Linked DNA regions of Drosophila melanogaster. The protein of the gene in region 1 interacts with the protein of each later gene in a pairwise test. Each region holds a gene or a part of one and is shown on either strand. Other genes may lie near its edges.

What was found.
Region 2: the proteins of gNacalpha (region 1) and betaNACtes1 interact in a two-hybrid assay, tested with the Drosophila melanogaster proteins (one large-scale study listed by BioGRID).

Annotation. Positions count from the first base shown.
Region 1 is NT_033779.5:1,034,768-1,040,255, forward strand, and holds gNacalpha (germinal nascent polypeptide-associated complex alpha subunit), read left to right. Parts: upstream 1-2,478; 5' UTR 2,479-2,611; coding exon 2,612-3,655; 3' UTR 3,656-3,739; exon of another isoform or gene 3,740-3,766; intron 3,767-3,811; 3' UTR 3,812-3,918; downstream 3,919-5,488.
Region 2 is NC_004354.4:14,170,180-14,175,401, reverse strand, and holds betaNACtes1 (Nascent-associated complex beta-subunit-like, testis 1), read left to right. Parts: upstream 1-2,777; 5' UTR 2,778-2,860; intron 2,861-2,914; 5' UTR 2,915-2,931; coding exon 2,932-3,717; 3' UTR 3,718-3,915; downstream 3,916-5,222. Other genes in the region: CG1368 (uncharacterized protein), read right to left, coding at 1-431, 573-575; CG12480 (uncharacterized protein), read right to left, coding at 3,954-5,222.

The DNA of each region.
Region 1 (5,488 bases):
TCCTTCTTTGTGCGGGCTTGGTGTGGCCTCCAGTGATCCCTGCTCCGGCTGCCGAATGCTTAGCGAGTATTTCTTGCTCTTTATATGGTAATAAATGTCAGACTTCGCTTAGCCCTTGGCAGTCGGCAGGGGAAATTGATTTTCCTTGCCGCTCCAGCGACTCCAAATCGTGATGGGCAGGTGGTTGGGGTCTGGAAATGCTGTTGGTTCTGGGTTCTGGATATCGTCTCGGTCATTTGGCGATAAGCGCGTCAGCCTCGCTCAAGGCTGACATATTTTGAAAGAGGATGACGGCAGAGTTTACTTCATTCTGAAGGCACAGCCATACCGCCTGCCAAACGGGATTCCAGCTCATCAACAGCAGCACAAAGATGTGGCATTCCAGATTGGCCCATCGACAAAATAAACGTCAAATTATCAAGCGAACAAGGTACCAAGTGAAATGACCTTGTCAACGCTAAAAACAAATTGGGTTTCTACTTTATTGGGAGTGCAAACAGTATGTCCACAAATTTGCTACGGCATCAGGATGTATAAAAACTTGGTGCTATTCGAAACTAATTTGCAGACTCACTATAAACTCACTAAAACAAACTCCTTTAATAAATAGTTTTCCTAGCAAAGACTGCTGATTCACTTACAACAATAGAATTAAGCCAAATAAGCATCAATCAGCAATGAAATTCATTAGCGGGAAGAGGAGACTCTCGAGCAGGCACAATATGAATGCCTTGGCCAAGATCTCAATTACGGAAACATCTTTGGTTATAACATGTCTACGACATGGTAATATGATTTCAATCATTTCTCGAAACTTGCATGATTAATGCGTTACAGATTTTTGCCCCCAGAAAGCGGCTTCTGTGGGCCTCGTTGCCTTGAAGGAGAGTGAAGACCTCGTCCTGGTGGGCCTCCGAATTGGGTTCATTTTTCATGCACAGGCCGTGGCAGCAGAAACTAAACTTCGAGGCTAAGACTAAGCCCCAATAAGTTGGATGGGCCCAGATGACACCGCAGCATATGGGGCGGATAATTAATCATGGGACGAACGTGCCAGGACGCCCAAAAACTTTTCACCCTTCTCCGGCTCTCCGGGTCTCCGAGTTCCAAGTCCGCGCAGAACTTAACTTAACCGAGCAACATTGAATCGAATCGACCGAGATGTTAAGATGCGAGGACTCATGGCTGGGCAAAGGGAATATCTGATTAGTTGGCCTCTCGAATTTAATTATGGTGACAGGACAGACTCTGCGGCGGCAGCCGGATGCATCCTCGGTCTCCTGCCCTCCACATCCTCCTAGTCCTCCTCCTGCTGCTTCATTCGCCTCTCCTGAATAATTTGTGCAACTCAATTAGGCGTTGACCCCACGATAAAGTTTAATAATTGCAGGTGGTGGACGCCCTTCTTTCGCTCGAACTTTAATTAAAAGAACCGAGCAATTAAAAACGCATCATCAGACAGAGCGCAGCGGCTTGCAGAAAAAATGCAATACATGCTCCCGATTACCACATACCTGTTATGTAGGAAATAGGAAAGGTCAGAATTCATGAAAATTATGCTAAATGTTATGTTAACTCCATTGGGGATTTGATCCATACGTGCTCATATTCTTATTGTACGGTTGTCTCGAATTGTGATGTAATTTCCGTAACACGAAGAGCGCCCTAATAGGGCGTGGCACTTTTTTAATGCACTTAGCAAGTGTTTTTTCGCCACACGCAGAACGCAAAACAGGATCACACAGCCCCGCCCTGAACCGCCTGATCTGGGAAATTCGGGAGCCGGAAAACCGCAAGGAAAACCGCACGTGTAACCGCGCTTGCTCCACCGCGTCGTGTTTGTGGGGCTGCTCCGCTTTGGAGGCAGACTGCGGTGCGACCACGACAGCAATTAACACGGAGGAACCAGCTTCAGATTCAGGTCTTTGGCATTTTCCGGGCATCCGAGTTTTACGACTTTGCATATTCGAATATTACCCAAATAACCGCTGAACTTTTCATTTCTCCACCACTTTTAAACTGGCTTTGTCAGGTGAAAATTTTCAAGCACGTCACTGCAGTGGATTGATTTGCAATCATCAATTTCGATAGAATTTGCGAGGCGCTGCAGCAAAACTTTTATAACCGCGAAATTAAGTGCACAGTTCGAAGGCAGCTGACATTCTCGTTTGAAAAATACCAACTTTCTTCAGAGCAGCGCTGCTAACGCCTATAATCAGTTCACGATTGCACTGGGACCTATCGATATCGATAGACTTAGGCGTGCTCTGCATGTTCGAATGGCCGAGTGGCCATTTTAAAAACTTATAATCTTTCCGAAAGCAACACTTGATATTGTTTATTTCGCTATTTAGGTGCCATTAGCATAAAAAATTTCCAGTTTTCATTATGAAAAAACTTTTCGATAAGTATACCAAATTTCGCAACAGCACTTATCGAAGAGAGCAACACCAGCTGTCAAGCCACTGGAAGTTTCACCTCTGATATTTCCTGTCAAGTCTTTCCCGCAAGAGGTCACACCACGTGCGCTGCCAATTTGGAAATTTTTTTGGAGAAGTTGTCCTCGCAAATCTGTGATCGCAAATCCCTCAGTTGCTGTTTATTCCTCAAGATGGGTAAGAAGCAGAAAATGAAGAAGGCTGCCCAGATGGCGACCGCTGCCGAGAAATTGAAGACCGCTGCCGAGAAATCGAAGACCGCTGCCGACAACGTGGTGGCCAAAGAAAAGCCTGCCGAAGAAGCCTCTCCCTCACCAAGTGGCAGTGGAAAAAAAGGGAAGCCCAAGGCAACGCAAAAACCAAACGTCGCAAAGGCACTTCAGAAGGAGATCTCCAGTTCGGAAGACGCCTTGGATGTCAAGAATAAACCTCCGGCAGGCTTTAGTGGCGCAAAGGGGAAGCCCCACATCATGGGTCAAATGGACCCGGCCTACCGCAACAAGATCAAGAAGCTGATGAGCCTGGCCAAACAGCTGCCGCCCAATGTGTTCAGTCTGCCGAACTCGCAGAAGGAGGAGGGCGCCTCCGCCGCGAAATCCTGCGTAGTTGAGGATGATCAGAGCACGGACTCCGATGACGCCCCGGATCTCGTGGAAGCGGATCCCAAGGAGACCCAACCGGACGAGCAGGGTCAACTCGGTACGGTGGCCGTGCGAACACGTGAGGTATCAAAGCAGTCTCGCGGCGAGCGGAAGGCACGCCGGATCCTCATGAAGCTGGACCTGAAGCCCATGGAGAACGTGGCCCGAGTGACCATGAAGAAGGGCAAGAACATCCTCTTGTACATCGATCAGCCGGACGTCTACAGAGTGGCGCACTCGTCGACGTACATCTTCTTTGGGGAGATCTGCGTGGAGGACACTAGCACCACGTCCGTCGCCTCCCAGGCAGCTGTCAAGGCGGCCGAGCGATTCCGTGGAACCTCGCCTGCCGGGCGGCAAGGTAACGAGGATGGAAAAGCCCCTGGCGAGGAGTCCCCACACGACGACGACGACGACGAGAACGATGGCGAGGACGCGGATGCCATGGGCCTACATGCGAAGGACATCGAACTGGTACAGATGCAGGCCGCGTGCTCGCGCAAAAAGGCGATCCAGGCGCTGCTGAAGAACGACAACGATGTGGTCAATGCCATCATGGCCCTGACTGTGGGTTAAGTCGCTCTGAGTGGCTCCTTTGTATTCAAAGTCATGAAATAAAGAGAATTTCAATAACATCCATGTTCGCCATAGAAATTAATGGTAATTAAATGATTACAATCAAATCGTAAACTTTCATGTTGTTTTTATTTACTATACTTTCATGTAATCCAGACAATCCTTTCGGACTTCACTTCTCCTGGTGGATGGCTTGTTCTACAAGAATGACAATCTCCGGTGCCAATGTAGCTCGTACTATATTAAATGCCGATCATTTCCTGGTTTTTGAAAATGTTTTCGGTCCCAGCAGAAGAATCCCACTGAAGAACCCCTTTGTACAGCGAAATTGCCATCTTATTTCAATTTTCTAATGAATTGACATTTCCACCATTTCCATCTTGGCACAGTGAAAGCATTTTCCGAAGGGCGAAGAACGCATATGCGAACCCGAACCATTTTCATTATACTCGTATTTGCTCTTCCATCAGCGCTAGACTTTGGCAATTTTCCTTTCAGGTACCGTCATTCTTGGACATTTTCTCTGTGGCGGAAACTTAATCGCTTCTTTCTTTGTGCCGCTGACGCTGCACTCTTGTTTACTCTGCACTTAGTTTTTAGCCATTTGGCGAAGTCCCCCGGCACTCGACTTTGCATTTTTTGCTGGCGAATTTTTGACGACGCCGTGATTGCGTTTCAGCTCTTTCAGGGGATTTCAGGGGTACTCCCAGGTGAGACAGGTGACGTCGCTGCTGGTGACGTGGCTACGCAAGTCCTGCTCCGCGGACATTTGACTCAATTAAATGGCTCGACTACGTTCAACGTCCCTTTTCTGGCCCCAAAAGCCACTTAATGACTAGCTCCGGCTCTAACTGAACTTTTTTTAATTTTCAGCTGTCGTCAGCAGCCGTAAAAAAGGCTTTAGTTTTGCATTGTGGGCGCTCAACAGTCCGTGCGGCTGAGCACGTGCCCGCTTTTTCGCCGGAAAAGTGGAAATGGAAACTTTGTAGGTGGGACGCATTCACCTTCTTCGTTCTGTACACTCATATAGTGCGAGTAGAAAGTGCCCGCGCGTGTCGGCTTCGAATGGAAAGTTCTTGGGGCTCCATTCCCTTTCCGTGGAACTTTCTCCGCCGGAAATTGATTAAGTTGGCTCCCTTTAATCAGCGGAATTGAAGATGCTGCCGAAATACAAATCAGTTGACAGTCGGCAGCCGTACTGCGCAATTTACTGCCCAATCCAAATGGTACTTTGAAGTACTTTCCGCGTCGGCAATTTCCACTCCTTGCTGACCAAATCCCGGAGAAAGCGGCAACAACAGCGAAAGTTGTTAAATGCCTAATGACATCATTCGGTCTAGCACTTTCTCGAAATGAACTACTTGTAAAACGGAACGAAACATTGTTTAATATTATAATATTAGGTAGCCATATATTGCTTGGGATAACGGCAGTCATTGTTCCAATTAAATCGTCCGGTTCTGAGCCATTGTATCCACTTGGTCTTAAGAATTTAACATGTTTCTTTTGTGTAGGCTCCAAGGCATTCTTTATCTGAATGCCACCTTGTGTTCCTGTTTTACAAGAATTTTCTTTGACATGAAATGCTCTTGCTTTTCACTGGCTTTTGCCTGCCGCTTATAAACTTTCCCTTTTGGTTTTGCGGCCAACGTTTGGCCTGCTGCCCGTTCGCTTGAGAAGTTTTCCTTTTCGTGGTTATTCATTCGCTTTCAACTTGATTTGGGTTTCACATTTCGGTGCGCATTTCTTGACCAAAATCTGCAGGATTTGTCTTCGCCGTCGTCCTTCCGCCTGTCCGCATCCGTCTGGCCAAGTTGGCCTGCCAAGGGACTC
Region 2 (5,222 bases), on another chromosome or scaffold:
GGGGCGGAGTAGCTGACCGATGGAGCGGAGTACGACTGCTGGACAGCAGGGGCGGAGTAGCTGACCGATGGAGCGGAGTACGACTGCTGGACAGCAGGAGCGGAGTAGCTGACCGATGGAGCCGAGTAGCTCACAGAGGGTGCCGAGTAGCTAACAGAGGGGGCGGAGTAGGTCCTCTGGACAGCTGGTGCGGAGTAGGTCCTCTGGACGGCCGGTGCGGAGTAGGTCTGCACAGGAGGCAGGTACTCGTTGCTGGGGGCGACATACGACTGCTGGATGGCTGGAGCGGCGTAGGTCTGCTGCACGGCTGGTGCGGAGTAGCTCACCGAGGGAGCGGCGTACGAGCTCTGGACGGGGGGCAGGTACTCGTTGCTCAGGTGGCTAACATCGGCGGCCACGCAGGCGAACAGGGCGAAGGCAATAAGGAATTTCTGCAAGTAGGACAACACACTTCACACATTACAAACACAGCAAATTTTTTAAGCACCGCAAAAAAAAAAAAAATTTTGTCAAATAATATTGTTAAATCGATGTATCCTTGTTTCAAGCTGAACTTGTAATCCTTCACTGACCATCTTGAGTTGAGGTTTCTGCGTTTTCAAGCGACTGTGCTGGATGAGCTAGAGGCTGCGACTGATGCCGGTCCCTACCAGCCGCCAGTCAATTTATAGCTGCCGGCCGTCTTCGAAGAAAAGCCCCGGTTTTGGAGAGCCCGTTCCAACTGCAGCGGTGGCACACCGGCACTAACGGCAGACGCCGGGCAAGAAGAAGAGCAGGCTTAAGCGGCCAGCGGACCAAGAAGAAGCCGCCGCAAAAGACGTCACCATGAAATCAAGACAAACAAACGGCTGACTGGTGCTGAGGGGCTGAGGGGACATAGCCACATAAGTTGGCAGCTAATTGTGAAAACTGTTAAAAAGTTTAAGTATTTTCAATTAAGAATATGCTTCACTTATAATTGTTTATGTACACCAGACCGTTTGCAATGTTCAATTAAGTAGTAGTGGTAGCACAATGCAAAATAAGTAATAATATAAAAGATTTAGATACTAACATTTGAGCTAATCACCTATTTACAACTTAAAACTGCCGACTTGTTAAATATTTACTTACTTCTTAAAAACTGAGTTTTGAAAAAAAAATGGTAACTTGAAACGTTAACTAGCATAGATCATTGGCAGAGCTTACTTAGTTAGATGGTTTTGGCAATAAAATGGCTAAAATGGCAACACTAATCAGGGCGGAGGTTAAAAAGCATATATAGGGAGGGGGCTGGCTAAACTACCAAACGGAAAATCACATTAAAATTAAATTCAACATAAAAATCGAACGAAATCGCACATGCAAACGGGTTTGGCTCATTTACGATATTATATTTTTTTCCATCCACGCAACGGGTTTGCGGCGGGTGAACTACTTTGGGACACCTTTTTGTGGTCTCTTCAATCTGGCTTATTAGCGTCGGACTCAAGGGGAATGGAGGGAGGGAGGGGGGGGGGGGGGGTTTGTGCCGCACAAAGCCCAAAAAAAAGGGGGAAAAAAACTAAGGGGGTTCCACTAATTAACATTCAATTTAACACATTATACACCGGAGCAACCATTTTTCTTGTTTCAACCGCAGAAATGGGCCGGCGCACAAAAAGAGATCCATTTGGCCTCGTTCGAGACACTCGCCCAGATTGATGGCCCCCACAGAACGTCGTGTTTCGAAAAACGGAGCCCCACTCGCACTTTCTAAAAACCCATAAACACACAAAACCCATCAGTGGAGACCGACAGAAGATGGCCTTGAGAACAGACGCCGGCCGCCAGAGTTACGAGTTCCCCAGCGGTCTTTACATAATAAGTAACAACTTTTACTTGCTGCCACATCTCGAGCGTCTTTCCACTGTCCGTGAACTTGAAATGCAGCACAGCCAGAAATTTACAATTCAATAAATTTTTAGCAAGACCTTTGCAATTTTTGAATTAATATTCAAATCCATCAAACGTATTGATTCTCTTGCAACATTGTAGCATAGAAACATAAAGAGTAATTTTTTAAGATTATCTATGTATCATATTCGCAAGGTGGGTAACCTATTGACGATTTATAGCCCGTTCACATATGATTCGCCTGTGATTCGCCTGTGTCAATAATTAAAATCCATTTTTATATCGATTTCATTTATGATCACGTTGATGAATTATCTTCAAGTGTAAAAAAGGCAGGAAATGTCAAGCATGACGATGCCAAGCAAAATGTGATGGAAATTTCAGAGTTCATTGGTGATAACTTAACTTAACCATGGCCATTCTGAGAACTGCAAACAGTTATCCTTTTCAACAAGAGGTAATTAATGTTGGAAAATAGTAATTAATATTTATATATTAAGTACATTCATATTTCAACTTATAAATAAAATAAAGTTTCGATCTGGAATTGTTAGTATTAATTTTTTAACTTAAAACATACATTTTCCGAAAAAAGAAAATATACACAATAAAAACTATATTTCATAAAAATGATAAAAAAACATGCATAGTTAAAAGTTAATATTTATATGTTTATGTTTAATGCAAAATTGATTACTTGAGGCACGACGTGCGGTCATCTGCACCTAAGAATCGATGTCGACAATATCTACTCTAGATATTTATATATTCGAGTCTAGAGTTCCCATCTGCAAGGACATGACAAAGCTCTGGCAACCCTTTTAGCACGTGTCAAAAACTCAAAAAAAAAAGACGATGACTTTGCAGTCTAAAAGTCACATTTCTGATTTGGCGTGAGGACCTCAGTTGATTCACATCTCCAAGCGAATATTACTTAATATTATATTAATTAATATATTAATTTGTAAAGCACAGCATTTTCAAGGTGAGCATTTCAAGAGAATTCTTTTCCACGCACTTTACCCATACAAGTTAATAGGTTTTCCTAACGAAACAATGGATTTCAAGAAGCTGAAGAAAATGGAGGAGGTGGTGCGCATCGGCGGCAAAGGATCTATGCGCCGCAAGCATAAGAGATTCCCATCCTCGGCTGCGGCCGAGAAGCGCGTGCAAGCCACATTGGCCATGTTGCCGTTGAAGAATATCGACGAAATCGAGGAGGTGACCATCGAGTTCACCAATTCCAGTAAGGTTGTGTTAACCATGCCCAGGGTTCAGAGCACCGCTGGCAATTCTTTCTTCGTGGTTAGTGGCGATTTCGTGCGCAAGTCGTCAACAGCTGGCCCATCGAAAGTGGCCAAGGCAGCCAATGCGCCCAAGGCACCCATGCCACCTAAGCCACCCAAGCCGGAAGCTTTTTCCGACAAAAAGCCAGAATCAGAGGAGTCCATTAAGGTGGCCAAGAAGCCCAAGAAGCCGCGCAATCGTGTTCGTCCTCGCAACAAGAAGGTCCAAATGATGCTCTCCAAAAACAAAGAGGACGCAGCCATGGCTGGCTGGGATTCGGAGCCGAAGCTTAGCAATGGTAAACCAATTTTGATCTCCTCTGAAGATGGCAGCGATCCGGATAATGAGAAGGTGCCATCGGATGAGTCTGATGTGGATCGGACCATAGTCTGCGACAAAGATTCGCTGGGAAGCTTCGGCGATGATTCCGACGGCAAGGAGGACGTTGACACTACGGAGTCGATCTACCTGTCCTCCTACTCCAATTACTATTATTTGACGGAGCAGCTCTATCCAAATACTTATCGCGTTCAGGTCTCAGAGGACGAAGATTAGGCATATTCATTTGTTGCTACATTTGTACCAATTTCAAAAATAAATCGTATGAATTGAGAAAGTTGAGACAGAAAAAGGTTCCATATTCTATAGATTTGTACTTTAATCTCTTGGTGTTTATTGAAAGCATTGGTTTTCTCTACACTTATGGAAATTTTAATGATCTATAGTTCCAAAATAAAAAAAAGTTATAAATTTAAGATTATATTAGACTCTGTGGCTCTCAGTTATTTGTCTTAGTAAATATAGCCGCCGTTCGACGCGTACTGGGTCTCCTGGACGGATTTGGAGTAGCTGGCCTGCAAATGGGCAGGAGTAATGGTGTCGGCACCAATGGCCACGGGCACATGGGTATCGGGATTGAACTCCTCGATGCCATTCGATGTGGGTTCCTCGTACAGATGGGCAGGTGTGATCGTGTTCGCTCCAATGACGACTGGGGTTTGTCCCTGGACATAGGCGGCGATGGGTTGGGCGCTCTGGTAGGAACTGCTAGACGATCCGGCCACGATTGTCTTGGCCTGGCTATTAACGTAGCTCGTCTGGGAAACGGCGGATTGATAGGAACTGGAATCTGCCCCAGAAATAGCAGAGGCAGCGGTTGAGGCTACAACCGACTTTTTGAGTTGAGCTGGAGTGTATTCAGCGGGCTGGTAAGAGCTCGAATCTCCTCCGGGAACAGCCGCTCCCTGCTCTTGCTCTTGCTCCTGAATGTACTTGTAGTGGGCCTCTTGAACGTCCTGGGGAATGAACTTTTCAGGGGTGTAGGTATCAGCACCAATAGCAGCCGGAACTGGGGCATAGGTATCAGCACCAATAGCCGCCGGAACAGAAGCCTTAAGATGAGCTGGAGTGTATTCAGCGGGTTGGTAGGAGCTGGAATCACCACCAGGAACCACCTCAGCGGCCTTCAAGTGCTCGGGAGTGTATTCAGCGGGCTGATAAGAGCTGGAATCTCCTCCGGGAACAGCAGCTCCCTGCTCCTGCTCCTGATTGTACTTGTAGTGGGCCTCTTGAACGTCCTGGGGAATGAACTTCTCAGGGGTGTAGGTATCAGCACCAATAGCAGCCGGAACTGGGGCATAGGTATCAGCACCAATAGCCGCCGGAACAGCAGCCTTAAGATGAGCTGGAGTGTATTCAGCGGGTTGGTAGGAGCTGGAATCGCCACCAGGAACCACTTTGGCATCGACAGTGGCAGAAGAGGTCTGCTTAAGATAAGCAGGAGTGTATTCAGCGGGCTGGTAAGAGCTGGAATCTCCTCCGGGAACAGCAGCTCCCTGCTCCTGCTCCTGATTGTACTTGTAGTGGGCCTCTTGAACGTCCTGGGGAATGAACTTCTCAGGGGTGTAGGTATCAGCACCAATAGCAGCCGGAACTGGGGCATAGGTATCAGCACCAATAGCCGCCGGAACAGCAGCCTTAAGATGAGCTGGAGTGTATTCAGCGGGTTGGTAGGAGCTGGAATCACCACCAGGAACCACCTCCGCGGCCTTCAAGTGCTC